Saccharomyces cerevisiae S288C: one gene and its partners. The gene in region 3 interacts genetically with the main gene of each other region. Each region holds a gene or a part of one and is shown on either strand. Other genes may lie near its edges. The genes, in order: HAB1, CAL4, YOR131C and PDC6.

The links.
Region 1: mutations in YOR131C (region 3) and HAB1 together harm fitness more than expected from each alone (negative genetic interaction), as found in Saccharomyces cerevisiae (one large-scale study listed by BioGRID).
Region 2: mutations in YOR131C (region 3) and CAL4 together harm fitness more than expected from each alone (negative genetic interaction), as found in Saccharomyces cerevisiae (one large-scale study listed by BioGRID).
Region 4: mutations in YOR131C (region 3) and PDC6 together harm fitness more than expected from each alone (negative genetic interaction), as found in Saccharomyces cerevisiae (one large-scale study listed by BioGRID).

The regions. Positions count from the first base shown.
Region 1 is NC_001134.8:772,271-774,856, forward strand, and holds HAB1 (Hab1p), read left to right. Parts: upstream 1-1,651; coding exon 1,652-2,086; downstream 2,087-2,586. Other genes in the region: YBR284W (metallo-dependent hydrolase superfamily protein), read left to right, coding at 1-1,362; APE3 (aminopeptidase Y), read left to right, coding at 2,430-2,586.
Region 2 is NC_001142.9:458,141-461,257, forward strand, and holds CAL4 (Cal4p), read right to left. Parts: upstream 1,287-3,117; coding exon 501-1,286; downstream 1-500. Other genes in the region: signal peptidase complex subunit SPC1, read right to left, coding at 1-221; YJR012C (uncharacterized protein), read right to left, coding at 1,655-2,053; GPI14 (glycosylphosphatidylinositol-alpha 1,4 mannosyltransferase I), read left to right, coding at 2,242-3,117.
Region 3 is NC_001147.6:571,677-574,705, reverse strand, and holds YOR131C (putative haloacid dehalogenase-like hydrolase), read left to right. Parts: upstream 1-1,867; coding exon 1,868-2,524; downstream 2,525-3,029. Other genes in the region: retromer subunit VPS17, read right to left, coding at 1-1,531.
Region 4 is NC_001139.9:650,785-654,564, forward strand, and holds PDC6 (indolepyruvate decarboxylase 6), read right to left. Parts: upstream 2,198-3,780; coding exon 506-2,197; downstream 1-505. UniProt on the Saccharomyces cerevisiae protein: Minor of three pyruvate decarboxylases (PDC1, PDC5, PDC6) implicated in the nonoxidative conversion of pyruvate to acetaldehyde and carbon dioxide during alcoholic fermentation.

The DNA of each region.
Region 1 (2,586 bases), on a different chromosome or scaffold from region 3:
TCATTTTTGGAGTGGTATAAAGTTATTTATCTCGCAAAATATCATTTGGTTAACGATGAAATGGAAATACACACAGGCTCACACGGTAAGCAGCTTCGATACTATTTGATTGCGAAAACATTTTTGGAGTTTGATAACTATATTAATGGTGAATACTTAGCGGAACTACTGAAAACGTTTTTAATAAAACCGCAAGAGGAGTCGAAATATCAGTTATGTCAACTCTCCGTGGACTTCCAATTTTATCTGCATTACGATAATTCCGATGTGGACAATTGGTGGATGGTCTTTGCCAATTGGCTGAACCACTATAATATATTTTCTAACAATATTCGCTGGAATATTCGCATTTCTAGAATTTATCCAGAACTGTATCATACTGGCAAGGTGAAGAATTTTCAGGAGTATTTAAATCTAATCTTCAAACCACTTTTCAATGCCGAAAATTATCTACACAAGTCATTAGGACCTATTCTTTTGAAATTTCTTTCTCAAGTATCTTCGATTGATCTATGTATTCAAGATACGGACAACTATATTTGGAAAAACTTCACAGCAGTTAGTTGCTTGCCAAAAGATTGGACATCTGGCGGTGATAATCCAACCATTTCACAATATATGTATTACGTCTACGTCAACCTAACAAAATTGAACCATATCCGCCAAGCCCTTCATCAAAATACCTTCACTTTGAGAAGTTCATGTTCTCCCACCTCAATGAATCGAACTTCACAGTTTAGTAATACACTGAACTTCACAGAACATACGGAAGCTATTTTAAACAATTTCTTGCTCGCCTGTGGAGGGTTTCTAAATGCAGAAAATCTCTGGAATGCACCACCATCACTGGTGTATCTTTTCTATCTAAGTCAAATTCCCATGGTTGTGGCGCCTTTGAATTCCATAGTAGATTCAAAGCCTACAATGCTGCAAGAACAAGCCCCGACGGGGCTTGTCCTAGAGCCCTCAAAGCCTTATAAGAAGAACCCTTTCATGAAGTTTTTTGAAATGGGGTTCAAGATATCGCTGAGCTCAGAATCTATCCTCTACAACAATTCGTATACGAAAGAACCCATTATAGAAGAGTATAGTGTAGCGGCTAGTATATACCGTTTACATTCAGCAGATTTATGCGAACTTCTAAGAAACAGTGTCATAACCAGTGGATTTTCAAGTACCCTAAAGAACAAATGGCTCGGCGTTTCCTTAGCCAGCCATGACTACTTCGTGGAAAACACTGGGTTTGTAGACAAGTGGTATGATTGTAAACCAAATACAAGTTTAGAGCATAACGTTCCGATCATCAGACGTCAATATCGCAGTAGCACTCTCGCAGGGGAGTGGCGACTCATAATTGCGTGAATTCGCTCATGTTTCTTCGAGGGGCGCATATTGTGACGCTAATATTATGTACCGCCCTTCCCCACACACACAAAAAAAAAAGGTTAAGGATAAAGATAAGTAAACTAATGGAATATATAAACAAATAAGTAAGTAGATACTGTAAATAGAACACACGTTTTTTAATTTATTTTTTTTTTTACATATCTTAATTTAATATAAATCAAAAAGCCCAAGCCTCAAACAAGAGTCTTATCACTCCATTTATAACATAACAATTCGAAATCTCTAAGCTCGCTTATAGTTGACAATGACCATATTTTCTAGGTTCTCATATTTTGATAGTCTATTCTCCTTTAAAAAGCAAGAGCCTTCCCCCATTGAAATAATCTATTGCAATGAAAACAATGGTTTCATAAACATAAAATCCTTAGAAAGCCCCACTGACGATAGCATGGAGGCGGACATTTCAGATAGAGAAATGGCTACAATCCTGACTAGAAACAGAAACAATTTGGGTAAGGTTGCCATTGATAAGAAAGGCGTTAATAATCATTGCATAGATTTGAATGAGCTGAAAAAGGGCCTTGTCGCCAATGAACACAAATTGGATAACGATAACTCAACACGGCACCAGAACACATATTCACCAGAGGATTCCGTGGAATTTGATAGGTTCGATGATAAACAAAGCAGAATACTAAAGTGTAGCACTAGAAGGAGCTACTTGAGATACAAGAAATAAGACAATTGAGCTGCTTCATTATATATCTTGATATAATCACCTTTCTTATCGTCAGAAAGAGTGTTCTCTATGTTTTTGTGCTTCCATAAATATATAGTTCAAAAAGTAATATCATATACTATTAATAATAAAAGTTATACTGAATATATTGATTAGTTCTATTAATTACTATTGACACACTTTGAATTCCCTTAAATTAACCCTCAGGAAGAAGGGGTCCTTAGGAAAATTTTTCTTTTTTCAATATAAAAGCGAGGAACAATGGATGGGAACAAAACCATGTTCAGCCTTTCAACAATTGGTAGAAGAAGCCAAAAAAAAAAAAAAAACAGAAACGCCAACCATGCACTTTTCTTTGAAGCAATTGGCTGTCGCTGCGTTTTACGCTACCAATTTAGGCTCTGCCTATGTCATTCCTCAATTCTTCCAGGAAGCCTTTCAACAAGAAGAGCCAATTGAGAATTATCTTCCGCAATTAAACGACGATGATAGCTCTGCCG
Region 2 (3,117 bases), on a different chromosome or scaffold from region 3:
TACCATGGGTAAGCTGGCAAAACACATATTAAAGTAATCACACAACTAATGCCATACGCAGTCAGTAAAACTTTCAGGGACTGTTGTGCAAATCCCAATATACACGCTACCAAAGCTCCGATCATGAGCGATAGCTGTTGAAATTTTTCTGTTTTCCGTTGGCTGGGAAAATCTATTGGAAAAACCAGTTTCCTTTGTACATCTTGTAATATCTCAGACATTGAAGTTGACTATGACGTGACGTTGATCTTGTTTGAGTATTGCTTGACCAATCCTGGAGTAACTTCGTTTAATCTGCCTCGTTTTTTTCTCTAAATAGTTTCTATTATCCCTCCTCCACGCGAGATGTATTTAAAATGTGAAAAGTGTACACATGGCGTTCATCTTACGTAGATGAGAGAAACGCTAAGAAGCCAACCAAACTAGTATAATCTATACATTTATAGATGTTTGTGTAGAACCTTATTTTTATACTCTTGTATTATATTACATTACTTGCATTAAACCGTCATTTCACCAATAATTTGGTCCTTTAGCCAATTAACATATCTGATGAATGGTTCACCCTTGCTAACATCAATAACACTATCGTTCGTAGCTTTTCTATATATATTAATCAGGCCCTTATCCTTAGAGAGCTCGTTAAATAGTTTACAATTCAAAAGATCTAACTGAAACTTCCAAATGGGTAACAATTCATTCTGTAACACATTAACTAAGATCTTCATCTGTAAATCGTTCATCTGTGACTGTTGTTTACTCATAGGGATCTTGTTCAAAAATTTGTAGAGATTAACGAATCCTGATAAACAATTTTGCATTTGTAATATAAATTCATCTTTAAAATCGACATTTAATCTGTTTAATTCCTGGAAAATATACCTGTTCACTCCATAAATGGAGGTGACTAGAACCTTCTCGATCAAATGCCGGCATTTTCCAGGAGTTTCAAAGTGATCTAACTCACAACTATCCAATAATAAGCGGAATCCTGTCCTTAAATCGTAAATTAGTTCACAAATATCACTCTTTAGTGCAAGGAGTTCTTTTTTGTGTGAAATAAATGTGCCAGAATGGTTTAATACTTCGTCTTCCTGCTTTTGAGCCAGATAATACAAGACATACATTAGATCCGTCATATAATGTGAAGTATTCAGAATAAACGGCACTATTTGATTCAGCAGTATAACATTTTTCTTGTTGTTTTCGGATATTCCGTCATTGAGCAAAAGTTTGGTTTGTAAAGACGAAACTGTACTTTCATTAGATTCTCGTGTTTCACTCATACGCCTTTATATGCTATCACAGTTACCTTATTTGTCCTTTTTCTTGTAGAGCTATTCTCTATTCTGCTTTGACTTAACTAGCGTGAAATTAAAACCAACGCCGCTTATCTAATCACAATAAAAGATCAGACTGTGAAATTAATAAAAAGGAAAGGATAAAACGACAGATATCGCACTAACTTTGTTAGAAACATTATGCAGACAAAAGAAGGAGATGCATGTGCCTTTGTATTCTTTTAAACGCAAAAAGGGCAGGTCTATGATTAAGTATGAATGAGCGATATAAAATTTAAGTAGAAAAGGGAAGATAATAGTACTATATATAAATATATAAATGCATTTTTTTACATACCTGTTGGGTGAATAATTTACCTAGCTGTTGGATTTGCTGTTACTGTATTATTGTCGTCATCATTGCCATCGCCTTTATTGTTATCATTGTTATTGTCATCATTATCGTTGTCACTGTCATTAATCTGTAACTTAGACTGTATATCGTAACATTCAGACAGCCTTGTTAATGAGGTCATGCCTTCTAGGCTTTCTTGATCAATGTCCAGAGATATATTGGGTTTGTCTAATGATCCTTGATGAGATTGATGCTGCAGCTGACCTTCCCAAGGCCTAGGTCTTGGCCTCAATGAAGGAGTACTAGCTAAACCCTCATCCAGCGTAACATTGGGCACCTCCACAATATTAGGTATAGGCTTGTTATTCAGAATGTGATCCAGCAACTCTTCATAACTAAGTTCACCACCTGCTGCCATGCTTGACTCGTTATGTTCGCAATCAATTTTCAAGAGGTAAACCGAAACATGTGGAGCTCTTTTACAGGCTCCGATAATAATAAAAGAAACTTTAATAGTTGGTAAGAACTTGACAAAAAAAAACACAATATATATACATAAAAAAGTCAACAACTGACAAGCAAGGTAAAAGGTGATAAAGTTGAAAGATGACTGGCGAAGAATGGGGCTTGACTGTACTGTCATTCTTGGTAAGAGTCGGATTTTTTCTTTTTGGCATTTACCAGGACGCTAATTTCAAAGTGAGGTACACTGATATCGACTATTTTGTGTTTCATGATGCTGCTAAATATGTATACGAAGGCAAATCACCTTATGCAAGGGATACATATCGTTACACACCGCTACTAAGTTGGCTGCTAGTGCCTAATCATTATTTTGGATGGTTTCATTTGGGGAAGGTCATATTTGTTATTTTCGATTTGGTTACTGGGCTCATTATAATGAAGCTTTTGAACCAGGCCATCTCCAGAAAAAGAGCTTTAATATTGGAAAGCATTTGGCTATTGAATCCGATGGTTATCACCATCAGTACAAGGGGAAACGCTGAAAGCGTGCTTTGCTGTTTGATCATGTTCACGCTTTTTTTTCTACAAAAGAGTAGATACACCCTAGCTGGAATCTTATATGGTCTTTCTATCCATTTCAAAATATATCCAATCATATATTGTATCCCAATAGCAATTTTTATATACTACAATAAAAGAAACCAGGGTCCACGAACACAACTTACATCGCTACTCAATATCGGTTTGAGTACTCTAACAACTTTGCTTGGATGTGGTTGGGCAATGTACAAGATATACGGATACGAGTTTCTGGATCAGGCATACTTGTACCACTTATACAGAACGGATCACAGACACAATTTTTCAGTGTGGAACATGCTATTGTATTTAGATTCTGCAAATAAGGAAAATGGTGAGTCCAATCTCTCAAGGTACGCATTTGTGCCTCAATTGCTGCTTGTTTTAGTAACTGGATGTCTTGAATGGTGGAATCCCACATTCGATAACCTATTGAGG
Region 3 (3,029 bases):
TCTTGTTGATGGGGATTTGACTTTTGCGGTTGCTCTCTCCCGTCCAACTGTCCCCTTTAAGGGTTTGAGAAGTATCGGAGTTGTTGTTTGAGACAGCATGGCGTCCTAGACGTGACAAACCTCCGTTTTCATCAGCTTTTCTGATATCAGAACGTACTCGTTCTAGTAACGTCAGCTTCTTTCTTTCATACTCTATCTTTCTTAGTGTAAATTCTTTGATCGAGCTTCTTATCCATTCTTCATACCAGCTAATCCACTGTTTTCTCTCGATAATCATGTTGGACGTGATTCGTTGAAGCTTAAGGGTCAAAACTTGTTCGTTTTTAGCTGCAGCTTTCAACTGACGTAGTGCTTCATCGATTTTCATAGGGTTAATATCTCTTCTTGACCGGAACCTGCGTGCTTGTTCCTGTTTCGCCTTTGAATTCTGCTGTGCCTGTACTAGATTTCGCATGATAAAATGCCTGTTGGTCAATGCTTCCTTCACGGCATAAGCATCTCTGACAATCCACTCTAAACCATCGTACAATGTCGCCATGTCCATGGTTGCTATAATGCTATCAATATCACCCACAGCAGTCAATATTTTACCGTATCTTCTGTAAAGTTTATTGTGCTCATCTAGATTAACGAAATCCTGGCCGAAGGCATTTTCTTCTTGAACCATCATCTTGCGATTTCTGGAAACTCTTAGCAGTTTTTCTTGCAAGCTCTGAGAAACAACATATATAGACTTGACTAATGGCCGGAATTCTGCTAATTCTGTGATTTCATCATATGGAGGTGCTAATTGTTTCAATGTTTTTCTTTTCAACCCAGATGCGAGTGATTTGGACTTGTTGATGGGTGTGTACGTATTAAAGTCACTTTCAATGAAAAAGGCCACTTCTTCATTCCGAATAATTAAGGGGTCTTGCGATAGCCTGTTAAACCAAAGTTGGAAATTTCGCGTTACTTTCATCCTATCTTCTTCGCTATTAATTCCGAATGTAGTATACGCAGAGGGAAGAGTAGGAACAAAAGATTCCTGAATGGCAACATTCAGATATTTGAACAATTGGTGGAATTCTTCGTATGATTTTTTGACATTCTTGTATTGTTGTTTGCGAAATGTTGGCAAATTTGTGGAGCAATCAAATATAATAGTCGGATTCTCTTTCTTACCGGTTGCAGATCCAAATCGTTCCAATCCTGTTACTTTTGCAAGTAGAGTGTATTTTTTTTTCTCATCACTTCTTTCAGGAAGTATAACACGTTCTGATGGTTGAGATGGTTGTTGGTTTTCATTGTGTTCGTTTGAAGTTTTTGATCGTGTTGCGTTTCCTTCTTCACCAAGACCATTTTGAATGTTATTTGCAGTTCCGTTGTCCTGAACGGAAGCTGCAGTTTGCTCAGTACCTACACGCTCCTCTGACATAGAAGATGATCCATCTGTGGTTGTTGCAGCAGGTTCAGAATCTTCCTCCTGGGGCTCAGCAAATGGATTGTTATCCAGATCATCATATGGATCATAAGGTACAGCCGAAGTCATTGTTCAGAGGATAGATGGATTGACTAAGGGTACAGTACGGCAAAAAAAAATTAGATCAGCTTTTCAAAACAAACTATTTTGGCGTTTACCAAAACCAAAACAGTATATTCAACTAGTTCAATCACTCTTGAAAACGTCCCCTTTCTACAAAATTAGGCTTTGAACGCGTGCTATGGAAAAAAGTGTAAAGAAAACGAAAAAACCAGAAAAGTCATATATATCTTATAACGAAATATCAGGGTGTTCGACTCAATCGCCAGGTGCCGCTAACACAATCATTAGGATAGTCGGGCAATATATACGGTTCAATAGTCACTGAAAGTGTATCACAGAATAATGACAAAGCTACAAGGACTACAGGGATTAAAACACATCAAAGCGGTTGTATTTGATATGGATGGCACATTATGCCTACCCCAGCCTTGGATGTTTCCAGCAATGAGAAACGCCATAGGATTGGAGGACAAATCGATTGATATCCTTCATTTCATTGATACATTGCCCACAGAAAAAGAAAAAAAAGAAGCGCATGATAGAATAGAATTAGTTGAGGCAAAAGCCATGAAGGAGATGCAACCGCAGCCTGGTCTGGTTGACATAATGAGGTATTTGACGAAAAATGGTATTAGCAAGAACATATGTACTAGAAATGTCGGAGCCCCGGTAGAGACTTTTGTTAAAAGATTTATTCCATCCGAGCTTTCGAGGTTTGACTATATTGTGACAAGGGAGTTTAGGCCTACAAAACCGCAACCAGACCCATTATTACACATCGCCTCGAAGCTAAATATAAGGCCCTTGGAAATGATCATGGTAGGAGATTCATTTGACGACATGAAATCCGGTAGATCTGCTGGATGTTTCACGGTATTACTCAAGAATCATGTGAATGGACATTTACTGCTCGAACATAAAGAACTAGTAGACGTTTCAGTAGAGGATCTTTCCGAAATAATTGAATTGATTCAAAATATGAATAAAGAAAGTTTCTAAAAAAAAAAAAACTTTACTTAGATATGTACATATGATTGAAATACCATTTTATTCTTAGATGTTTTTTAGAGCTAATATAGTAGCTATGGCGGAATTACCTTGATTTTTTCGGCATCACAAAGTTCGAGAACACATCAAATCAGCAAAAAAATCTCCGCGACGGGGAATTGAACCCCGATCTGGCACGCGACAAGCGCCCATTCTGACCATTAAACTATCACGGATTTTAATTGTTGGGTTAACGGTGTTTTTATTAATACTTGTTTCATATGATTTGAAAAAATAAAAAAATGTTGCAGCAAGTGATCATTAATGTCAATATAAATAATGATGGTAGCAAGATGAGTGTTTACGTTAATGTACATTTCATATACTGAGAAATAGGTGAATTTTCGGGATAATCGTTAGGATTTCATTATTGTTAAGGGCTATAATTTAGGTATATCGAATATACGAGAAGTTCTGCACGATGATATAGGGATCCATAAAGGGAACCAATATTTCT
Region 4 (3,780 bases), on a different chromosome or scaffold from region 3:
GAGCACTTGTTATTTATAAAAAGACACGGGAGGGGGAATCCCGTCTTTCGTCCGTCGGAGCCAAAGAGATGAGCCAAAGCAGAAAAACAGGGGACGCCGCCCTTCTTCCGTCCCGTGCGTGAGGGGGGCGCGGCCATTCGGTTTTTGCAATATGACCTGTGGGCCAAAAATCGAAAAAAAAAAAAATAAGAGGCGGCTGCGGAATTTTATAAGACAAGCGCAGGGCCAAAGAAAAAATAATAATTGACGTGGCTGAACAACAGTCTCTCCCCACCCCTTTCCAAAAAGGGGAATGAAATACGAGTTCTTTTTCCCAATTGGTAAATATTCAACAAGAGACGCGCAGTACGTAACATGCGAATTGCGTAATTCACGGCGATAACGTAGTATTTAGATTTAGTATAATTTGAACCGATGTATTTATTTGTCTGATTGATTTATGTATTCAAACTGTGTAAGTTTATTTATTTGCAACAATAATTCGTTTGAGTACACTACTAATGGCTTATTGTTTGGCATTTGTAGCGGCAGTCAATTGCGCTTGTTTGATCAAACTTTCCGGAGCATCAAAGACGGGCAGTTTCAGTTCAATTAGTCTGATCACCGAGTTTTTCTGGAACTCTGAATCAGTGGTTAAGGCATCCCACTCACCCGTAGTGGCGATCTTGTGATTTTCGTACTTTTTCGCACCAAATGCGGGCAACAGGGCGAGGTGATCCCAGGTCTGGATTTCGTTGTACTCTGCGTGAGGCCCATGAATCAGCTTTTCGATAGTGTAGCCGTCGTTGTTAAGGACAAAAAGATACGGCTTTAACCCCCATCTGATCATGGTGGAGATTTCTTGGACGGTTAACTGCAAAGACCCGTCACCTATGAATAAGATGACTCTCTTGTTGGGGTCAATCTCCTCAGCGGCAAAGGCAGCACCTAAAGTTGCTCCTGTTGTAAAACCGATGGACCCCCACAACACCTGCGAGATACCGTAGGCGTCCTTAGGAAAGATAGTTTGATTGATACCGAAGGCAGACGTGCCGGTCTCGGAAATGATAACATCACCTTCTTGCAAGAATTTGGACAATTCGTTCCACAACCACTCTTGTTTCAAGGGCGTGCTAGCAGGTACACCTTTGTTTGCGGGAGTTTTGGTTGGTACGGGAACGCTCTTGTAGCCCTTAACAACATCGGGAATAACCTTCAGTAAGTTTTGTAGTGCAAATTTCATTTGTACACCGAGGAACGTAGCGTTCTTCACCTTTACGTAATCGGAATGAAACTCCACTACATTTTTAGTCTTGTAGGAGTAGGAAAACGAACCTGTGTTAAAATCAGAGAGCAAAGCACCGACCGAAAGGATCAAATCAGCCGACTCAACGGCCTGTTTCACGTCTTGTTTGGACAGCGTTCCCACATAAACACCGCCATATCTGGGATGCTGTTCATCTATTGACCCTTTACCTAGAGGTGTCACAAAAGCTGGGAATTGCGTCAAATCAATTAACTTCTGGGTTTCTTTTTTAACGTTGTGCCTAGAAGCACAGGCATCCGATAGTATAACAGGGTTTTTCGAATTCTGGATCAATTCTAGTACGGTATCAATAACTTCCTTTTCAGCTTCGGGATCGTTAGGTTTTAATGATAGATCAATCGGTTTTTCCAAAAGAGAACCAGGAACCTTTAGATCTACCAAATTCGCTGGCAACCCCAAGTAGCTAGGCCTTTGTGTTATAAATGTTGTCCTGATCAACCTATCGATTTCTGAAGGGGCTGTAGCAATGTCTGTAATCATTGATGTAGTTTCTGAGATATTGGCGGACATTCTGTGAAAAACGGTAAAATCACCGTTACCCAAGGTATGATGCAACAACAATTGCTTAGCCTGAGCGGAGATAGAGGGGACACCAACAACATGCAGTACACCGACGTGTTCTGCATACGATCCTGCAATACCATTCAAGGCGGATAATTCACCTACGCCAAAAGTAGTTACCAGCACAGATAAACCCTTGATGCGTGCGTAACCATCGGCGGCATAGGCGGCGTTCAGCTCATTTGCATTACCAGCCCATCTCAATCCATCTACCTCGTAAATCTTGTCCAATAGGGACAAGTTGAAGTCGCCTGGTAGCCCAAAAATGGTGTTAACATTAACTTGCTTCAATCTTTCAAATAAGTATTTTCCAAGAGTAATTTCAGACATTTTGTTGGCAATATGTTTTTGCTATATTACGTGGGTTTTTTATTTATACTGTATATAAAAGAGGACTGCAATAGCACAAGATTAAGATAGAATGGCTTCAAACAGCCGCCTTTTATACATATTGGTAAAAGCTCGCGAATCGCACCATATCCCTTATCCTGTAATCAAATCGATCTAGGTGCAGATACAGATCAATTCATAAAAAGAAATTGAAGCACCAGTTTATCACTACTACACTATCTTTTTCTTTTTTTTTTTTTTTTGCGAAGTTTCGCCCTTTGTTCAATATCACTTGATAAGTTGTGGGCTTTTTCTGTCACTCATTCGGCTTAAAAAGTATTCGTTCTTTTGTGTTTTATGAAAAGGGAACGTGATATAAAAAAACATCCTTTGGTGTGGGACATGGGCTTTTGTTTAGAGAATGGTTATCACTACCGCCCCCACCCTTGAAAGCCACAGAAAATGAAAAAGTATGTGAATAAGGTGTGAACTCTATAACATTTTGGCCAAATGCCACAGCCGATCTGCATATTCCAATGGACATAATGCAACAACAATTGATGTCACATTCTCTTACACACTTCGATTGGTCCGTACGTAGTACTTTTTACATAACTGACTCAGGCGTTTCCTTCATTGAAATGCTCATCTATTGCCAAGTACATAGAATCCACAGTGCATAGGTTTATGAGATGCTTGGAAGATGTACGATCGCCTGCACTATATTAGTATATTTTTTCAGGCTTTACAAAACCAGAAAGAAATTACCGACTGTAATACTTAATTTCCATGATTTTAATCGTATGGTCCGTGAGGAAAGAGGAATTTTAGGTAAAAAAAAACCTTTGTCTATCAAAACATAAAAGAAAAGAAAAAAATTAAATTGAATAAGTCAGCTTTTTAGCATGACCACAGTAATAATAGTAATACGATATCAGCATGAGCTGCTAAACATTAAGAATTTTTGAATTGTGTTCGCTGGTAAGAGAAAATAGGGTAGCATTAGTTGCGAGATGGAAAATTAAAATATGCGTCATAAGGTATTTTCGACGTTGAAGATTAGGGGTTGCAAGTCCGAGAACTAAACTGCCTTCACGACGTCAAACTTATTGTATGGTGACAATAAAACGAATTCAAGAAGCCAGAGATGATGAGGAACCGATGACGAGGCACATGGGGATAGAACCTCCGTTATCTCCATTCCGCGTTGAGCAGCTCTCCTGCGTGCTTTCACAGAGACCCTAAGCCAAGACCGCGGACGGCCCTCTTTTTCAAGGGGATCACCGGTAAGGGGCCAAGCGGTGAAATTGCGTATTGTTTCCTCCTATCAATGATGAGTACGTCGCCGATCCAGAAGGGTTATTATTGTCATTGCCAGTACTATTCGTATGCTGAAAAAGTATAGTTCACTTCACCCTCTGGCTGCAGGCTAGCCTAGCCGATAATGCCCCCGACTCCCTCAACAGGTAGAATTTGTAAGGATTCGACGTAGCCTGGACACATTGTGCATTTATCGTATCCCCTACTGCTACACGTATAAGAAGTCGTTGCTTTACCTCTATTCCAGAACTCAATCTTGTCGT